Macaca fascicularis: one gene and its partners. The protein of the gene in region 2 purifies or fractionates together with the protein of the main gene of each other region. This does not show direct contact. Links are inferred from orthologs where the notes say so. Each region holds a gene or a part of one and is shown on either strand. Other genes may lie near its edges.

What was found.
Region 1: the proteins of HDAC5 (region 2) and TBL1X purify together in Homo sapiens (affinity purification with mass spectrometry; 3 studies listed by BioGRID and IntAct, with this or other methods). This does not show direct contact. The link is inferred for Macaca fascicularis from reciprocal best matches to the Homo sapiens genes HDAC5 and TBL1X.
Region 3: the proteins of HDAC5 (region 2) and PRKD1 purify together in Homo sapiens (affinity purification with western blotting; 4 studies listed by BioGRID, with this or other methods). This does not show direct contact. The link is inferred for Macaca fascicularis from reciprocal best matches to the Homo sapiens genes HDAC5 and PRKD1.

The regions. Positions count from the first base shown.
Region 1 is NC_088395.1:9,143,520-9,147,686, reverse strand, and holds the start of TBL1X (F-box-like/WD repeat-containing protein TBL1X), read right to left. Parts: upstream 2,801-4,167; 5' UTR 2,578-2,800; intron 1,028-2,577; exon of another isoform or gene 590-1,027; intron 23-589; exon of another isoform or gene 1-22. UniProt on the Homo sapiens protein: F-box-like protein involved in the recruitment of the ubiquitin/19S proteasome complex to nuclear receptor-regulated transcription units. Plays an essential role in transcription activation mediated by nuclear receptors.
Region 2 is NC_088390.1:65,135,602-65,139,105, reverse strand, and holds part of HDAC5 (histone deacetylase 5), read left to right. Parts: coding exon 1-284; intron 285-1,027; coding exon 1,028-1,193; intron 1,194-2,622; coding exon 2,623-2,756; intron 2,757-3,504. UniProt on the Homo sapiens protein: Responsible for the deacetylation of lysine residues on the N-terminal part of the core histones (H2A, H2B, H3 and H4).
Region 3 is NC_088381.1:97,748,461-97,752,698, forward strand, and holds the start of PRKD1 (serine/threonine-protein kinase D1), read right to left. Parts: upstream 2,803-4,238; 5' UTR 2,607-2,802; coding exon 2,343-2,606; intron 1-2,342. Other genes in the region: uncharacterized protein, read left to right, coding at 2,803-3,341.

The DNA of each region.
Region 1 (4,167 bases), on a different chromosome or scaffold from region 2:
TCCTTGACAGTTTCTGCGCCTCAGAAACTGAGCAGACGCGGGGCCCGCGCCACCTCGCCCGCCGCTTGCCTCACTTCGTAAGGCTGCGCTTCCACCCGGGTCCGGGCGGGCCGGCCCGCTTCCCGGGGATGAATGGGGCTCCTCTCCCCAACAGCGGGGAAATCCCGCCACCGCCCTCCACCCCGGTCCCCCGAGCCCGCGGTGGCGCAGGTTTGCCCAGCAAGCCCCAAGATCGGCAGACAAAGGGGCACCAGAGGAAAAGCCGAGCTCTTCCATAAACTTACCGGTCACCTACCCCTCCCCAAAACAAAGGAGCCCCCCGCCGACCTCTGTCTCTCCCCGCAAGGCGCGCCGGCACTTTGGGGAGCGGCCACCTCGGGGTATTGTTCAGCCTCCTGGGAGCGCGCCGCACCCCAGTCCGAGCGCCACGGGGACAGTTGGCGACCTGCGCCTCCTGTAGTTCCAGGGGCGGGTGGAGCGTCCGGGCGCCCCGAGTCGCCGGCCAGACCCTGGAGGGTCAGCGCGGGAACCGCCTCCCCGCAGAAGTTTGCGGACCCCGCGCCCGGCCCGCCGAGCCCCGCGCACTCACCTCGCCGCGAACAGCGCAACTTGTGGCGGCGCCGCGCGCCCGGCCGCGCTCCGAACCTCCCTCCGGCCGGCAGCCTCCGAGCCCCGGCCGTGCGGCGGCCGAAGAGGGCCCGGCGCCCTGGAGCAGCCGCGCGCCGCCCCCGGGCCGCCCCCGCCCCGCCGCCGCCGAGTCCCGGAGAGGGCGCGGGCGCTGGAAAGTTTCGGTGGCGAATGGCGGCCGGAGGGCGCTGCGGCGGCGGCGCGGCGGGGGCGCTGGCGACTCCTCGCTCCCGAGCGCGGAGTGGGGCCGCTGAGCCGGGCGCGGCGGCGGAGGCGGCGGCGGCGGCGGCGGGAGAGGGCGGAACAGCGGGAGGGACTGGCACGGGCAGTGACCTCCGCGGGGAGCGGTCGCGAGCGCGCGGACCCCAACCAGGACTACCGCCAGGGGTCCGCCCCCTCCGCCAGCCCCTCCCTCACGGCCGTGGGAGGGCACCCGGCGTCCCACCCAGCCCCGCCCCTGAGCCCCGGGGGAGCCGCGTCCCGAACCAGCCCCTCCCCCACGAGGGTAGGGACTCCGGCCCTGCCCCTCCCCCGCGGCTCCTAGAGGGGACCCGCGTCCCAACCCAGCCCCTGCCCCACGGTCGGGGGACCAGCGTCCCTACCAAGCCCGCCCCGCTCCCCAACGCCTAGGGTGGGTGAGGGGAACCCAAGCCTTTCCCGAGTTGCTCCGGTCCCGGTCCCTTCCCCGTGGCCTCCGTGGGACTGAGAGGACCCCAGGGCTACCCCCATCACATCCCAAACCCAGCCTTTCCACGACTGCCTCGAGGGGACGGGAACCTCGGCCACCCCCTCTGTTTCGGGGGGGCAGGGGAACCTCGGTCCCTGCTAAAGTGTTACCCTCCCCCACCCCAATAAGGAAGCCACCCAGCTGCCCCAAGAGAACCCCCTGCCACCTGCCCGATGGTGAATCTCCCTCAAAATAAGCGTCTTAGAAGACACCCCAGTAGTCTTTACCCCACCTCAAAAAGTGGGGGCTCCGGCGGAGCCTCGACCTTTGCAAAACACCTCCCAGGAAGAGCCAGAAACGCTTAGGGACAAACTCAGACACACAAGCATAGGCGCCAGGAGCTCGGGTGTGGGGGCTGAGGAGGTTAGGGGGACCTGGGCCCTCGGGCCTCAGCACTCCCACCCCAACCCCCAGGCTTCAGCCCTCTGGGCCTTGCAAAGTGCTTAATGTTGCAATGGCTTACACGGCCTGGCCCCGGTGCACTTAAGTCCCCAGCGCTCCTTCCTCCCCTCCACGTAGGCTACTCCCCACCACTCGCGGCCTTAATTCAGTTAAACAGATCTCCACTCCCCCTCCCCAGCACCTCTGGGGTCAGCCTTGTTGAATATTTTTCAAATATTCTTGCCCCTTCCTTTACTATATAATGAGCTTCGTGCTAAGAGTCCGGTGCACTCAGCAATCTAAACTATAACCTTACTTGCTCTTCCTCGAACACTAGACCATTTGTTGTTCTGGTTGTGGGGGGAGGGGGACCCGAGGTGAGGTTTTTGTTTTTGTTTTTGTTTTTCTGAGACGGAGTCTCGCTCAGTTGCCCAAGCTGGGGTGCTGTGGCACGATATCGACTCACTGCAACCTCCACCTACCTCCCTGGTTCAAGCAGTTCCCCTGCCTCAGCCTCCGGAGTAGCTGGGATTACAGGCGCACGCCACCACGCCCAGCTAATTTTTTTGTATTTTTAGTAGTTTTAGTTTCACCATATTGGCCAGACTGGTCTCGAACTCCTGACCTCAGGCAATCCGCCGGCCTCGGCCTCCCAAAGTGCTGGGACTACAGGCGTGAGCCACCGCGCCCGGCCGGAGGTGAGTTTTTAAGAGGCCGGTCCTCCATCAAAAAGGCGGACCTCAAAATTACCCTGCAAAATATTGCCGTAAAACGTCAATGATGCAAAATGACTGTTGCTACACCATCATTAGAGGACATCAATAAAAAAAATACACACTTACACAGTCTCCATAATTGTGAATCAGCAGAATAGATTGTGTCTTATTACGTATCAGTTGCCATTCAAGGCCCCCCAGAAGGACTTGGTGGGGCCTTCCCTTGAGCCTGCCCTTCGTTGCTCCCGGGCTCCCTGGGCTTGTGCAGACTGATGCTGACTATTACATGCAATCGAAAAACGAAGGGTGCAATAGAAAACCCGAGCGAAAGAGCTCATGATGCAACCCTGCCCTGGCTACACGTGCTTCCCTTCCCCCACCGCCTGCTGGTGGGAGCGCTGCGTTTTTTCCGCCTGTAGGGTCACATTGTGGTTGATTGATTCTCCTTTCGCCTTGCTCAGTCATTCAGATTTGGAAAGTAAATAACAAGTTGACATCATTACAGCTCTGGGCTTTACGCGGACGCAGCCCTCGGCTACCGCACACTCTGGAGTAGCTGCGCAGCCAACCGGCCTCCTAGCTTGCCAGACCTGCTTGTGGTTAGCAACTGGAAATTCAAGCTAAACTTGGTTAAAAGGCCTCTTTGTGTGTTTTGATCACTTGGCAGATGCCAATCTTTTAAAGTATGGGAAAGTGGTGGAAATCATCACTCTCAAACTGGAGCACTGTGTGGCCAGGATTTATAGCTGATCTCCTGTAACTGACAAAGCAAAAGAGCTCAGAATTCATCTTGACTGGTTGGTAATAGCCCAATAATCCCACCGGCCTTATTACCCGTAAAGAGTCAATATCTTTTATCATAGATTCACAGGGCCCCAAAGGACACTGTAAGACCTAAGACAGGAAGAGAGACCGCCTACATTTATCATGAACTCACCAAAATTCCTCTTTTTGAAATGCTAGATGGGCTGTACGGTAGGTGATAATTAGACTGTGTTATTTAATCTGTTTCAACGATTTTTCAAATGTGCAGTCCTATAAGGTGGGAGAAAACAAGGAAATAAAGTACAGCCGGAAGGAGCTAGTGTATTCTGAGAAAGCTGAAGGATAACAGGGCGAGGGGTCCACAATGATGTACACAGATACCCACTGCACTAGCCATGTGCGTGTGTGCGTGTGTGTGTGTGTGTGTTGCAAACACTTATTTTCAGTTATTGACTGGAGGGAGGGGAAAACAAGAATCTGCTTGCAACAAATACCACCAGCATTCCCCATATACAGTACCCAAAATTTTAATTAAAAGGCAGTAGGAATTCACACAAATATACTCAACTAATCTTTCACAAAGGAGCAAAGGCAATTCATCCTTTTTAACAAGTGGTGCTGGAACAACTGGACACCCATATGCAAAAAAAAAAAAAAAAAAAATTCTAGACATAGGCTTTATATCTTTCACAAAAATTAACTTAAAATAGAACATACTCCCTAACATAAAAGGTAAAACTATAAAAACTCTTAGAAGATAACATAGGAGAAAATCTAGATGACCTTGGGTTTGGCAATGACTGTGTAGCTAGAACACCAAAAGCATGATGCATAAAAGAAAAAAAACAGTAAGTTGGGCATCACTAAAATTTGAAAAGTCTACAAAAGACACTGTTAAGAGAATGAGAAGACAAGTCACAGAATGGGAGAAAATATTTGCAAATTCCATAT
Region 2 (3,504 bases):
TCCTCACCAAGACAGGGGAGCTGCCCAGGCAGCCCACCACCCACCCTGAGGAGACAGAAGAGGAGCTGACAGAGCAGCAGGAGGCCTTGCTGGGGGAGGGAGCCCTGACCATGCCCCGGGAGGGCTCCACAGAGAGTGAGAGCACACAGGAAGACCTGGAGGAGGAGGAGGAGGAAGAGGATGGGGAGGAGGAGGAGGATTGCATCCAGGTCAAGGACGAGGAGGGCGAGAGTGGTGCTGAGGAGGGGCCCGACTCGGAGGAGCCTGGTGCTGGTTACAAAAAAGTGAGCCCCGTCTCTGGTCCCAGCCCTTAGTCACCACCCCTCTGTCCTTCCCCACCCGTGCCTTTGCCCTTGTCTTTCCCTCTCCCCCATCTGCAGTTTCCAGGCTGTGCAGGAGCAGCTTTCTGTAGAGAGCAAAAGGGGAGTGGGAAGGAGGCCAGTGGGGAGAAGGGGGAGCTGTTTGTGTTGATCTCAGAGCTGTGTCTCCTGGGCTGCCAGTTCCCTCCCTGTCTCTGTGATACTGGCCTGCCTCTCTGCATGTGTGTCTGTGTGTGTGTGCATGTGCGGGTGTGCACGTGTGCACACGTGGCCTGTGTGTATCTGCGTTTCTGCCTGCGTAGGGCCGGCTGTGCGTCGGTCCCTGTGCGTGCCTGTGCGTGTGTGTACACACACGCCCCCGCTGTTACTACTGTCTGCCTCACGCCTAGCTGGCACTCCATTCATTGCGGACACAGCCGAGCCCTCCAGGCCTGACTCATCCCGCCCCCACCCCGCCCCCGCCCCTCCCAGCCTCTTACCTCAATGCTACTCTTTGATGTGACTCATCACATCTCCCCCATCCCTCCCTGTCTCAGGAGATGTGTCTCCTGTCCCTAGAGGGAGCAAGTGGGAGGAGGTGGGGGAAGGAGGAGACTTGGAAGAAAAGGTCTGGATTGGGGCCCCTCTGGAGGCCCTGACAGGGCCTGCCCTCACCCCTGTCCTGGCTGAGTCTGACCCAGGCCCCCTCCCACTCTCCTCCCCTGCAGCTGTTCTCAGATGCCCAGCCGCTGCAGCCGCTGCAGGTGTACCAGGCGCCCCTCAGCCTGGCCACTGTGCCCCACCAGGCCCTGGGCCGCACCCAGTCCTCCCCTGCTGCCCCTGGGGGCATGAAGAGCCCCCCAGACCAGCCCGTCAAGCACCTCTTCACCACAGGTGAGCCCCCACCACTTGTTATGTCCTTCTACCAGGCACCAGAGGGCCTGTGCGTGGTGTCTGCCCCATGGGCAGGGGGAAGAGGCTGCTGGGGCCCCTTAGGCACCCTGAAAGGAGGGGACACAGGCTTTTGTTCTCTCCCAGTTCCCCAGAGCTGTTCGTGGTAGTGGCAGGGCCTTCTGCCTCAGCTGGGAGAGTGGGTAGCATCTTTCTCACCCCGCTGAGGGAAGGACTGCCCCACAGCCTGAAGTGCTGGGTAGAGAGAGCCTGCTGTCTCTATTGGGCCCTGACCTTCCACCTTCCCTTCCTTCTCCCTGTGAGGTCTGGGATGAGACCAGAGTCCTCTTCCCCATGAAGCTGCCACAGGCTGGGCTCTGCAGGGACACAGATGTGCCTGAGGGTGGGCCTGTATAACCAGTGGGGAGTAAGACATAGGGGTTTGGCAGGAGGGGGAAAGCAGGAGGTGCTATGAGAAGGGTGCAGCCAAGGAGGCACAGCTGGCAGAGATCAGACCCATGCGGGTGTCCAGGGCAGCCTTACTGGGGCTTGTGTAGCAGGGAAGCTTCTGACAGGCAGTAATGGAGCAAAGGAATTTCAGGAGTCGTCGAGAGGGGGCAAAGGCTGGAGAGGAAAAGCCAGGTGCAGTGACTCACACCTGTAATCCCAGCATTTTGGGAAGCCAAAGTGGGAGGATCACTTGAGCCCAGGAGTTTGAGACCAACGTGAGCAATATAGTGAGACCCCGTCTATTTAAAAAAAAAAAAATAGGCTGGATGCGGTGGCTCACGCCTGTAATCCCAGCACTTTGGGAGGCTGAGGCGGGCAGATTACCTGAGGTCAGGAGTTCAAGACCAGCCTGGCCAACATGGTGAAACCCCATCTCTACTGAAAATACAAAAGTTAGCCGGGCGTGGTGGCACATGTCTGTAATCCTAGCTACTTGGGAGGCTGAGGCAGGAGAATTGCTTGAGCCCAGGAGGCAGAGGTTGCAGTGAGCCAAGATCGTGCCATTGTACCCTAGCCTGGGCGACAGAGCAAGACTCTGTCTCAAAAAAAAAAAAAAAACCAAAACCAAAAAAACGCTAGATGTGGTAGCGCCTATAGTCCCAGCTACTCAGAATGCTGAGGTGGGAGGATCGCTTGAGCCCAGGGTGGTGGGGGCAGTGGTTGAGGCTGCAGTGAGCCATGATAGCGCCACTGCACACTCCACTCCAGCCTGGGTGACAGAGTGAGACCCTGTTTCAAAGAAAAAAAAAAAGCTGGAGAGGAGAGGGTGCAGGTGTGTGGGAGGGTGGCTGCAGTGGCCACGGGGAGGTGTTTGGACCTGGGGGTTGGAGAGAGCTCCATGAGCCCTGCTGAGGATCATGGTAGCCACACTGGGACCCGGGGCCCAGAGCAGTGCTGGCTGACACATAGGTCTGTGGCGCAGGTGTGGTCTACGACACGTTCATGCTGAAGCACCAGTGCATGTGCGGGAACACACACGTGCACCCTGAGCATGCTGGCCGGATCCAGAGCATCTGGTCCCGGCTGCAGGAGACAGGCCTGCTTAGCAAGTGCGAGGTAAGGGAGCCCCTCCTTCCTCTGGCCCTCAACTTAAATTCAGCCTTTGTTTCCCCATTAGAGAAGCCTCTCTTCATGCTTCTTCCTCATCCTCTCTTCAGCCCCAGACTTCGGGGCCAGTTCTCCCACCACCCCCTGTTCCATCCTTTGCAGCCTGTTTTCCCCCATGGTCCCCAGCTGAGTCAGGGAGGATCTGGGAGTAAGGTCATGACAGAGCCAGGATCTACTTTCTGAAAAATATTTGGATCTCCTAAGGCCAGGAAGTGACTCTGTGTACCCCTGGCTATGGGGCAGAAAGGGTCTGAGAGCCAGGCGCGGTGGCTCACGCCTGTAATCCCAGCATTTTGGGAGGCCAAGGCGGGCATATCACGAGGTCAGGGGTTCGAGATCAGCCTGACCAACATGATGAAACCCCGTCTCGGCCGGGCGCGGTGGCTCAAGCCTGTAATCCCAGCACTTTGGGAGGCCGAGACGGGCGGATCACGAGGTCAGGAGATCGAGACCATCCTGGCTAACAGGGTGAAACCCCGTCTCTACTAAAAAATACAAAAAGCTAGCCGGACGCCTGTAGTCCCAGCTACTCGGGAGGCTGAGGCAGGAGAATGGCGTAAACCCAGGAGGCGGAGCTTGCAGTGAGCTGAGATCCAGCCACTGCACTCCAGCCCGGGGACAGAGCGAGACTCCGTCTCAAAAAAAAAAAAAAAAAAAAGAAACCCCATCTCTACTAAAAATACAAAACTTAGCCGGG
Region 3 (4,238 bases), on a different chromosome or scaffold from region 2:
TTAATTTTGTTTCTGCTGGGATAGCAATATATTCTGAAAGAGATGACAGATGATAGAGAAATTGAAAAAGTCCTCTGTCCAGAAACACTACCTAGTATATATTTATTTACAGTATTCTGTATATAAATAAGCCTCAAGTTCACATATATAAATCTAACCCCAACTTTTTTATAACCTTAAAAAAAAAAAATCAGTTAGATCTTTACCTTAACTATCCCAAACAGTCAAACTTTTCAAACTTCTTTGAGAGACAGAAGAAACTACCAAAACAAATACAAAAGGAAAGGATTCCCCTTATAAATCAGTCACCTATCAGGGCTGATGGTTTTCTCTTTCCAGTATTTCTCCCGGTCTCTCCCCCAAGAGTCTTGGCTCATGTTCCAACTGCTCATGACTGAACTCTGGTGCTCTTTCTGCCATAACATTTTTGGCATTCTAAAACCTCCACACAGCAAATCCATGTTTCAGATGTCCTTGGTATGATGTCGCTGTGAAAAGATTACTGAGGCTTCTCGCAATTTGAGTTTAATTCAAGGCCTTTTCATAACTGTACTTCCCTTAAAGACCCCAGCCACCACCTTCAGGCCTGCTGCATTCCGTAAGTGCTTGCTGTCCCTCTCCCTCTGCTCTCATCTCACTCTCTCCATGTAACACGCCTCTTGGTAGCTTCCAAGACACCTGGAATTCACCCTCCATTTTAAAATCCCACTACCAAACCTCTTGAGCCATGGATCAGTCTCTCCATCCTGAACTCCATAAGGAAGTTGGGGGCGGGGAGGAGGGAGAATTCAAGCTGGTCAAAACAAAGTCTATCAATATTACTTTGACCCAATTTGAATATTCTCTGACACTACATCACTTGCTTTAGAATTTAGAAAAGTTAAAATTGTACAGAATTACCTTTGCTTTTTGAGAAATTTTATTGTACATTGTATATGTGGTTATGAAGCATTGCTGTTTAATTAACTGGTCTGCATCCAAATGGAGAGGGTTGTATACAAGGCTTTCACAGTGCCTAGAAGAGTGCTCCTGCTTACCCACAATAGACATTCCACAATACTGATGTGGAAAAGGAGCATGATATGACTTGCATCAGCATTAGACAAAATGTGTCATTTTCTTCGAAGTTGCAAACAGTTGACATTACCCGTAATATAAAAGTAAAGTTCCATAAATAAATTCCTGGCACTCATTGTTACCTTAGTCTAGAACTTTCACAACTTTCTAGATCGGTTATTTTTTTCCACCTGGGGCTTTTAACATCCCTGTGCTCAGTGCCGCAACTCACAACCCTCAAGGTTTAGCAAACTCTGTTACACATAGTTTAAAGAAAGCAATTCATGATTATTCAAGTGATAATTGGAAAGCAAAAGGAGTGCTAGCCAGTCCTCCAGGGCTGAAAAATTCAGCACCTTTAGAGACCTCTGTCTCCACCCCCTGAAACGCTGGCTGTTTACACTAAGAAGACTGGCGCCATGGTCCCCTCTCCCTCACATCTGTATCACCCCCTTCCATGCAACATCCCTCTGGATAGCTCCAGAGGCAACCTGAAAATCCAAATTGCAACTGTAAACAGTGGTGGCTGGACTGAGTCTCCTCCGGGGGTGGCCTGGCCCCAGATAACGGCCCTTCTTCCAACCTGCCTTGAGTGGCCGCTGTCCAGAGCCCCACAGCCTCAAACTTAAGGGCACAGCCAGCCTTGGGATGTTCCTGGACATCACCCCCACCACTTCAACGTCCTACTATCAGCATCCCGGGAATGAAAAATAGGAAGGTTGCAACTTTCAGGTTTTGTCGTTGGAAAATGTGTTTCCATGTTCATACAGAGGTGGAACTAAAAGATGACAGGGCCTTGGGTAGCTGCAGTCCTGGTCAGTTTAGCTGACAGGTGAGAAATTTCTTGTCTCCAGGCCATTCCAGGGGCACTCTGGTGCAGGAAGTAGGATTCCGGCACCAGGAATGCGCTGGTCCAGGGTCCATAGGGGAAGGGGACAGAGGAGAAGAAAACTGGGAAGTCTCAAGGACAAGGAGGGGCGCGGCGAGGAAAGGGCAAGATACCTGGAAATTGTCATGAGAAGGATGGAAATGGGTGAGGAGTAGGCGGACTGGAGACAAATCGGTGAATAGAGGAAGATGGGGCGAGAGGAGGATGAGCAACAGCGAGCGCAGTGCCTCGGGCTGCAGGCGTCCAGCCGCGGCGAGGCCAGTCGCTTCCAGAGCGCCGACGAGGCTGGCCGCCGGCCGAGCCCCGGGAGCCGGAAAGTTGGCGCAGAGAGGGCCAGCTGGGCAGCGCCCCCTGCGCCGCGGGGAGGCGCCGGGCTGGCAGCGGCGCGGCGACTTACCTTCTGGTCGACGATGGAGCAAGCCATCTCGCGGACGTGCGCCAGGCTGTAGTCCCCAGACGAGTCCTGCAGCAGCAGCACTGGCTCACGGCTCAGGCCGATCTGCAGATGGAACGAGATGCCCCCGACCGGGGCCGCGACGGGAGCCAAGAAAGGCGCGGGCCCGGGCCCGGACCCTGGGACCAGTGCGGCGGCAGCTGCCGCAGCGGCTGCCGCCACGGGCAGCAGGGGGCTGGGCGGCCGCAGGACCGGAGGGGCGCTCATCGCTCAGCGGGGCGCGGGGCCGGGCAGCCGAGGGCGGGGGCCGGCGGCGCGGCAGCCGAAAAGTTTTGCAGCGGCTGAACCAGGAGCTTCTTTCTCCGAGAGCCGAGACGGAAAATAAAAACTTTCCGGAAAAGTCCCCGCGCGGGGGGAGGGCGAGGGGATGAGGATCAGGAGGGGAGTGGACTGAGGGGAGGAGATGGGGAGGAGGGAAAATGGCCGAGGCGGGAGGACTCTGCGGCCCGGAGCGCGGCCGCCGGCGCGGGGCCGCCGGCGCGGGGGAGGTGCCGCCGCCGCCGCCAAGAAGCTGCCGCCTGGCGCGCTCGGAAGGACGGGGCGGCGGGTCGGCGCGGCCAGAGCGCCGGGCGGGGGCGTGAGGGGCGGGGAAGGGGAGCTGGGGGCGGGCACTGCGGAGCCACCACCCGGCGGGCGCGGGAGTCGCAGGAGCAGTGGCCGCAGGGTGCCCGGTCGCCGCCCCCTCCGCCCGCAGTTCCCGAGGCCTGAGCCTCCGCGAGCCGGGATAGGACCGAGTGGCGGGGCTCGGAGCCGCCTCGGCAGGAGCGGCCCTTCCCTCCCTGCAGGGACTCCAGTCCTCGCGGGTCCCGCTGCCCCGACTGCGGACGGAGTGGATGGGGCGCACCTCCTCACACCCGCTTCCTGGGGTCGCGAACTTCCCGGGCCCCACGGTCCCTGCCACCTCTTCCAAATGCTCGAGGACTACGCACTTCTACAAGTGAGGTGACTTTTGAGGAATTCAAGAATGCTGATCACAGCGGTTCCCCTCGGGTCTTACCTTTGGAGGGTCAAGGGAGGATGGGTCATCCGGAAACCACTTACATCCAGGCCCCTCTGGGAGCCCTGGGGTTTGTTGCCAAAGAGGGTAGAAGCCAATCCACAGAAAGGGATTTAAACTTGTCCCTACCCTTTTTGTCGCTCTGACACGCCATTACAGCCAACCCTACCTACTCCACCCCAGCTCCTAAGGCACCGGATATACACAGTGATCTAAAGAGAGGGTCGCTTTGGAAAGAAAAGGCATTGACTGCCCAAGGGCAGGAGGAGGGTCTGACGCGGTTTCCTTTCCTTTACCTTATTCTTTGCGCCTGAAGTTTCTCCTTTGGAGCTTCAGAAACTATTTTCCTTCTCCTCTAAAGTCTGTTATATAGGAGCAGTGCTCCCACCTCAGCCCCGCCACCATGATCACAAGCACAGCCATCAGGATTGTTCACAACCTGCCCTAATTTGGATCGTTTATTTTTGTTGTTTTGGCAGGGTAGGGATTGTTTTACATTCGTTGGAGATGAATTCTAATTCTCTCCTCCCACCAGGGTGGGCTTCATGGGTGTGCGACTGTGCAGTTGTATAGGCCACAGCTCATAAGACCCGTGTTTGGTTTAATGTTCTGGAACAATAGTCTGCTGTCGCTGTTTCGTTCTTCATAATTTTTAACCAAGGAGTCTTACATTTGTATTTTGCAATGGGCCACGCAGATTATGTAGTCAGCGCTGCCTCTCTCTTCTCCACTTCCCTAGACTTTCCCCTTCCCCTGCTTAAGTACACACATACATACCTAAGCAAACATTTTGTATTTTGTATAGTTTATTTTGTTCTGATATATTTATTTATTTATTTATT